Linked DNA regions of Xenopus tropicalis. The protein of the gene in region 1 purifies or fractionates together with the protein of each later gene. This does not show direct contact. Links are inferred from orthologs where the notes say so. Each region holds a gene or a part of one and is shown on either strand. Other genes may lie near its edges.

Evidence for each region. Proteins that work in one complex are often made in the same cells at the same time.
Region 2: the proteins of psmd9 (region 1) and psmd13 fractionate together in Homo sapiens (co-fractionation; 3 studies listed by BioGRID and IntAct, with this or other methods). This does not show direct contact. The link is inferred for Xenopus tropicalis from reciprocal best matches to the Homo sapiens genes PSMD9 and PSMD13.

Annotation. Positions count from the first base shown.
Region 1 is NC_030677.2:162,105,585-162,109,974, forward strand, and holds the start of psmd9 (26S proteasome non-ATPase regulatory subunit 9), read right to left. Parts: upstream 2,804-4,390; 5' UTR 2,766-2,803; coding exon 2,646-2,765; intron 2,279-2,645; coding exon 2,176-2,278; intron 1,901-2,175; coding exon 1,707-1,900; intron 1-1,706. UniProt on the Homo sapiens protein: Acts as a chaperone during the assembly of the 26S proteasome, specifically of the base subcomplex of the PA700/19S regulatory complex (RC).
Region 2 is NC_030680.2:23,987,256-23,990,914, forward strand, and holds part of psmd13 (26S proteasome non-ATPase regulatory subunit 13), read right to left. Parts: intron 2,567-3,659; coding exon 2,523-2,566; intron 2,385-2,522; coding exon 2,298-2,384; intron 853-2,297; coding exon 681-852; intron 483-680; coding exon 403-482; intron 170-402; coding exon 44-169; intron 1-43.

The DNA.
Region 1 (4,390 bases):
TTTCCCTGTGTCTATACCTGAGGCCATTGTGTTGACCTGGGTGCAGGCACATGGAGCAGATTTTGGCCCAAAAACACACAAGTTTGCATTTCAGAGCCCAAATTCTTGGCCTGCGTTTATCCACAGGCTGAGAATCAGTCCTGTGTGGCATCAGCCTAAGGACTAAAGCTACCCAAGCATAGGCCAATAAAAGGTGCTGGCGCAGACCTTCCACAATGGTGTCTGCCAGGCGGCCTACTGATTAATATCTGGGAAAAAATTGATCAGGTTTTAAAATAAAGTTGGGCAAGGACCGCAGTAGTGTGTTAATACAGACCTCTTATGCTGGATCTCCATAGAGCCTGGTGCCAAATGACCAGCCTAATCAGCCTAATTTGGTCCCTCGCCTTACAAGCGTATCTATCAGCCTATGGCCAGCTTAAGACCGCACTTTGTTTTCATTTCAGGTTTCGATAAGAATCCCTTGGCTGTTATTATACAGAGAACAGTGCACACCCTATTGTAAATTTTAAGTTGCAGAGGAGTTCTATAATCATAAAATGTGTCATGTGACACACATTACATCACTAAGCAATAATATCACTAATATCACTAAGCTAATATACTGTATATGTGATGACATTACAACCACAATATTCAGGGCTCTTTTATATATAAATTATTTATGTGGTAAAAATACAGACCATTGTTACTTCTCCACCAAAGTTAAAAATATGCATTAACCATTCATAAAGGTAGCATTTTCCTGGGACAGCAAAATTACACTTGTCTGACTGCCAGATAGTGAAGCACATTTCATCACTGTTAGTGATCTTTATATGACTCCAGCAACATGCATACTGATCTTAGAGTTCTACGCAGCTGCTTGCCCATAAAAATGATTGATGTTTCATCAAAAAAATGTGAAACTTTACAGAGTCTTTTTAGTTGGGTTGTCAAGATACTTTAGCCTATGCATTGTGTCCAAATGCTTTTCATCATATAGTGTACTGTAAAGCTGGCCACACACATGGCGATTTTCGATCTTTCCAACCCTCAGGGCCGAATCGTCAGATATGGAGGTAGAAACAATAGGATTTCTACCTCCTTCTGTCGATTCAGCCCTGAAGGCAGATTTTGCTCAGGTGCCTTCAATGGCGCCCGATCAAAATCTTTTAACCCGCAGCCTTCTGCGATATCGGTCGCCTCGCCGAGTTGCCACACACGCACCGAATATCGCAAGAAACGAGGTTTTGTACGATATTATCGGTGCGTGTATGGCCAGCTTTATTAGCGTCTGACCAGAGATGTGTACATCAGACAGGTCTATAACAGACAATTTACACAGTGTTTAAGTTACTTAAAAGAAGGCAGATTATGAAGAAACTTGATTTGTTATGTAGATTTGAAAGTGATCCTGTGATGTGTGGACAAATATTTCTACAGAGTACAATATGGATTGTGGCTATTGTGGCCATGCAACTAGCTGTAACTATACAAGTGAATTTAGAAAGCGCCAATAAAAAAGAGCCAAGAAATCAACTAGGTGCTTTGGGGACCTGTCTTATTAATATGAACTGCATATAGTTCATTACAATACATAGATAAAAAGGTACATCTAAAATTAAATCTGTAGGTAAAATGATATGGTATATATTGGACTATAAAAGGTGGTAACTACACAACAATGATGTTTGTCTCATCAGTACAGCATAACAACTACTTACTGACATGCTGGCAGGAGAGCCTGGGGTAACAACATCTACTTTAGCAAAAGCAGTAGGCAGTGCTTGGTGACTCTGTAGTGCTTCAGCCTGGGCCTCTGCTTCATCCTTCTCACGTTTCTCTTTCTCTCGTGCATGTAGTCTATGTAGAGATTCCTCTATCTCTTTCATAATGGCTTTATGATCATTCTGCAAACCTGGAGGCAGTATATGTTAGTAAACCCAGTTTCACATTAATATGATACTTATGGAATAGATATAATTATACAGATTTCTCACCATTTAACCACACCGTATGGATAAATAACTGAATTTGCAACTCATGTAAAAAGGTACACTTTCAAGTGAAAGTTCTGCTCAGTTCAACTGCCTTCAAAAATTTACAAAATCAATATACTGTATATGCCAAAGCTTTACATTGCTTTGGTATGAGAAACCCTCCTCTATAAAATTCTAATATTGAAGATCTTACAGATGATATTATGTCTTGCAGTGCGAACTTGGTAAATATCCACATCTGCTCTAGGGTATCCTTCTCTGTCAACCAGTGGTTCGTCCATGCCGACTGCTTTTTGCTAAAAAAAATAAAAGATTTCAGTTATTATTTTAGTGGAAGCCAGTCCTGTCAGGTTTCCCGCTGACTACTGAACACTATAAAAAACTACAAACAATATAGCAGAGATTGAAACTAAAAACTACTAGTTGATTGGGCCCCACTACCAAAAATAAGAGAATCAGAGGCAAAAATAATAAACAAAGCTGAAAAGAGGCAGAAATGGATATGCCCCTGTGCGGGTCAATGAATATTATAACATAATATAAAATGACTATTTCATAATGCTTTGTAATCTTGTGTTTATTGGTATTGCTGTGAGCATGTGTAAGCAGTGAGGGCATAATGTTTATGACACAGCCATTCCCTGGGCTAAAGAAGCAACTTACATCTTGCAGAAGGTCATATAAAGCCTTTATCTGGGCTTCGATCTCATCCTTCTTGCTGATCAAAAGCTCCACGTCGTGCATAGTAACCTCTGATCCACAGGGATCCGCAGCTTCCGACATCACTTTGGCAAACTACAGAGACGCACCACAACTACCGACAGCCGCGCAGAACTACATCTACGGGTACCTACGAGGAATAAATCTTACAAAACGCAAAGTAGATTTTCCGCGGTGAACTAATAGAATGTAATTCTGAATTAAAATAATTGTAAATAGTGTTTATGTAAGAAGTGCTAAGGCGATTGACTTTGTTGCGCATTTAGGACGTGGTCATTTGTAAGCAATTGGGTTAAACTACTTGTTACTCTTTATGTTATTGTGCTCAAAAAACACAAAACACGCAGTTTGTAGATTTCACATCTTTTGGGGTATTACAAGAATGATGTCTAACAATAACTTGTTTGTAAAAGTGAACACATCATTTTGCAGCTGCTGGTATCCCCTTGTGCCAGACGTTGTAGTTTCTGACCACGCCCAAATACGCCTACATGCTGTCCTACCCTTTCCTCAGACCTTCCTCCACGGTTTTTGTAAACATAGTGTAGCACAGACCCTGCTATTTGTTGGGAACCCAGAACTAATAAGAATCCCATGAGGGCCACTGACTGATTAATAGTTTCAATATATGTTTATGATAGATGTTTTATTTCCCAAAATGTAGGGGGCCCAAAAATAGTTTTGTTGTGGGGCCCAATAACTATACTAGTTATGCCACACTTCATTAATCTTTCATTATGATCAGAGCTCATATTATTTTAAATAATGATATGAAAACTTCCCCAATACCCAGAAGTGACGTTAGCGCATGTGCACGCGCTCCCAGAAATGGCGTCATGTGCATGCACAAATACCATGTTGAAGCCGAAAAATGTTCCGCTGAAAGCAGTTCTAATGTGTAGCGCTGGCTCCTTCTGAAAGCTCAGACTCAGGCACAATGCACTGAGATGGCCGCCTTCACACCAATATTACAACTTAAAAAATACATTTGTTGGTTCAATAATAAAATTTAATGGTAGAGTGAATTATTTGCTATGTAAACAGTGTAATTTAGAAATAAAAAGTACACCATAAAAATCATGATAGTATCCTTTGAAAGGACATAACCCAAAAAATAATTTTTTGCCTAATAAAACAAGGCATCATTTTGAGCAACTTTCCAATATGAATTTATTAAAACCATTAGTTCTTCTAAAGTTATTTGTAAATGTAATTGCTATTGAAAGCAGCATTTGCTGAACTCCTGGTTATGATTTTTTAAACAATGTTACAAAAGCCAGTCTCCTCCAGCAAGTCAGGTCTGTCAATCCGGTGCCTTGTGTTACATTGTTTCAAACGCCAGTGCCACCAGGGCAGGGAACAGAAAAGGACAAAACTGCTTTTAACAGAAATTATATATACTAGTAACTTAAAAACCATTACAAAATTTTAATTAATGTATATTGCAAAGTTAATTAGAATTATGGAATTATATTTTCTTTTATTAGGCAAAAACATTGTTTGGGTTGACATGTCCTTTAATCTCCACTTAATAAAACTCAAGACATCAGCAAGTGTTGCTCACTGTTATCATTTTAAATCACATAATATTTGTACATCACCTAAAGAAAGAACCATTTTCTCAAAAAAAAAAAAGAAGACAAAGAAAGAATCACCTCCATTGTAGCAATAGATGACAAAAAAACACT
Region 2 (3,659 bases), on another chromosome or scaffold:
TGGAGGGAAAAAATAGCGGTCTTCCTCTTTTCAGGAAAAATACCTGTTGTCCCCAAGCAGTTTTCAGCCCACGGAATGTCTCCACATTGCCACTATTGAAGGCGTAAAGAGTGTCTATTAGCCACTGCCGGTCAGAGTTGCGCAAAGATTCCAGGATTGGATGCATCAGCTAGGACATAAAAAGGTTTAATCTTGAACCCTTTGTCTATACCACAAAATCTGTAACCTAAACAATATCTACGTTCTTGTGGTAGACATAATCTAAATCAGCTTATAACGATATATTGTACTATATATGCATAAAACAAATACAGGTATATAGTTTATATACTTTATGCAGCAAATATAAATCTTGAGCCAAATCAAAAGCTATAATGTTGCTTTAAGAAATAGGTGATTTACCAGTTCTCCAAAGTTGTAGACTCCATCTCCCAACAGACCTGCCAGCCCTAGGGTAAAGGCTCTGTCTTGCTGTTCTGACACTTAAAGGAAATAGCAGAAGGTGACATTTAGAAGTCACTTGGAATTATTAAAGCAATTACACATGGGTAGTTTTGGGCAACAAAACAAACAAAATGCTGTGCCATTGCAGGCAATGTAAATAATTTTAGTCATTTTATTACCCATGGTTAAGCTTTCTCATTCTTATTATTAAAAATGAGTGCCTATATGTATCTTACCAGAAAGTTCTTTGTGGTCTGTGCAACCTAGAAAGCGCAATGCATCTTTGTAGTAAGAGGCGTGATTGCCAATGGTCTGATAATACTTGCTGGAAAGGTCATAGAAACGGCTGTGCACAGAGGTTACACCAGCGAGTCCGCCCAACATCTCTTCCACTGCCTCAATAGTTTCCTGAGGATGACAAGATGAGAATAAGGGCCCTTCAGCCATACAATAACTGTGCTAAAAGGGAGTATAACTAGAAAACCTACGCCAGTGTCACCATATATGACATGCTTAATGGTCAGGATAATAAAGGTTTTGTTTTGAGCACACCGTAAATAACTAGGTTAAAAATGACAAGAGACACTAAAACCAAGGAAAAATTTAGAGGTGAGTTAGCAAGTAATAGTCAGCGTCTCCACAGATTACGGTCATTATGTACTTATGTCGGAACAGAAGCCAGTGCTCTACAGTGCACTGCCCCCAACAAAACTCTCCATGGCCTAGGATGGAAGCAGAATATTTAATCACTGGCAATTAAAAGGTGGAAGCTCACATTTAAAATAAATACAATGTCTTGAATATCCCACTGCATGCCCAATTATCACATTTCTTTTGCAGAAAATTACCTAAGCTAAAGTTAAGCTCTTTTCCTGCCACACTGCTAAGCTACAATTGCTGTATGCCATCAACTGAGCAGCAGAGCAGGGACTGGGCAGGCTGTAAGATACAGCCATAAATAAAAGTATGCATAAGCAAGTTAAAATGTTTTAGGTAGTCTTCTACTGCACTGCTAAGCTATCCAGATACCTTGTATAGCACCACCAGGGGAGCTGCAAAAAAACTGGGCAAAAATGTACTGGGGGATGTTGGGGCGCAAGAGAAACTGAAGGGGGTGAGAGTCATTAGAGAAGAAAATTAAGCACAGGAAAGAGCATGAACTGGTTAGAGCAGAACGGGAGAAAAAGAAACAAGAGAAGGGGTGAAATGGGCAAAAGGGGTGAGATTAAGAGGATAAAAATGATCAAGAAAGTTTCAGAGATGCAATAAGGGTAAAAAGGTAGAGAAACACATAAGAGCAGAAAGGATGGAACAATGAGAAAGTGAGGGAAGGAATGATAGGAACAGCAAAGGTAAAAAAGAGGGTATAAAGAACATAATAAAAGAAGGGAATGAATTAGGCTGATCATACTACCATGCCTATATATGTGGGGGTGACTACACAGAAATGTTTTGAGGTACAGCAGGGGCTGAAATATTGATGTGCAGCCTAAAGTGACGTGGATACAGAAAAAACGGAAACATTTAAAACAGGGTATGTAAAATTGAGGTTTCACTGTATCTAGGATATTGGACGGCACCGCTGTCAAAGCTGAGGGATCATTGAAACGTAATGAGGAGTTTTCCTTTCTCATTCTGTAAGGGGAAATTCATAGAATCATAATGGAAGAAGGTTTTTAATACCGAGGGAGAATGCAACAGGAAGCTTTGCTTCCCCTCCCTCCCCTATGCAAGTCACCCCCTACTTGTTGCTTGCTTATACTGTTATGCTCTTTGATTGTGCAGTCCTACTTATAGACCATCTAGTACCTTCAAAAACCACATAATGCACCTTTGTGCATTTTTATACGCACCTTTGTGGCCTGCAGCTCCCCAATGTTGAGTTTCAGGGCTCCGATGGCTGTCCTGCACAGTATTACTGCTTCATCGCTGCTTTTGACCTACAACCATTAAAGCAGACAGATCATGGCTTTGGCAAGAAATCAGTCTCCATACCTATTATAAATATATCATTAAATAATGTAAACCAATTTACAGCTGAAGGACATACAAGATCATTATTAAAAATAATCACAAACCTTCTCGCGAGTTTTCTCCAGGAAGTTCAGAGCTACTGAGGGATCTACATGGAAGAGACATTTCTTACATAAGCTATAGATTTAGGAGGAGCAATATAAGCATTTTTTCATCAATGATTTAACAAATACAGCTTGTGTTGAACAAAGATGTTGCCTCATTTAATGAGAAATATCTATGGTTTTTGTTGTTTCTTGCACTAAACAGGGCAAAATGTTATACTGAAACTAAAGCCACATTCTACGTCCTGAACCCTACAAGCACAATCAAAACAAATCAGCTTGGAAAATAGAAGAAATTTCAATTATCTAAGCTTCTACAGATTTGTTTTGATTGTGCTTCTACAAGTCAAGAAGTAGAATGTGACTTTAGGATAGGGCTTAGTTCCATTTTTTACTTTTACTAAAAGGGACCTAAGTATCTATAAATGCTACATGTGGGGGGGGTGGAAGCCATTCAAATTGAAATAAGGCTAAATGGCACAGGTTATATAGCAAATAACAGATAAACTCTGTAGAATACAATGGTGTTTTACAGAGCCTATTTGTTATCAGCTATGTAACTTGTGCCTATTCTCCTTTTTACCAGCTTGATTGGCTACCCATGTGGCTATACAGCAGCTTATTCACATAAACTATAGCAGTCTTTATGCAGCAAATGCAAACCTTTAACCAGAGAAGGACAGCAGTATTTTATATTTTAACTACTCAAACATTTTATTATTTTTGGTGCTGTTCCTTTAACAGAATACAACATTTGCTGGAAAATATAAAATACTAAAAATAAAAGCCTATTTTGCCAGTTGATTGAAAAGTAAATGGAATTATTGAGTTGATGGAATGCCATTTATGGCGAAGACACACAGCACTCAGTAGTCGTGACTAATCATGGCGTTTAGCTGCCCTATATTAACATTGTACATGCAAGTTACATTTCAGCTCAGAGGTTTATAGTTTATTCCTGAACTGCTCCTTTCATTTTGCATACATACAATTGCAAACTGGACTGCAATACTCCAGCCTCATGCCTATGATTAAGTGTATATTTACACGAAACGCGTCAGGCGTATTGTTTTTAAATGGAGTAATAAAAATCAAGTTTTAAGCAAGCCGCTGTGTCCGGTGCATTTGGAGCCCTTT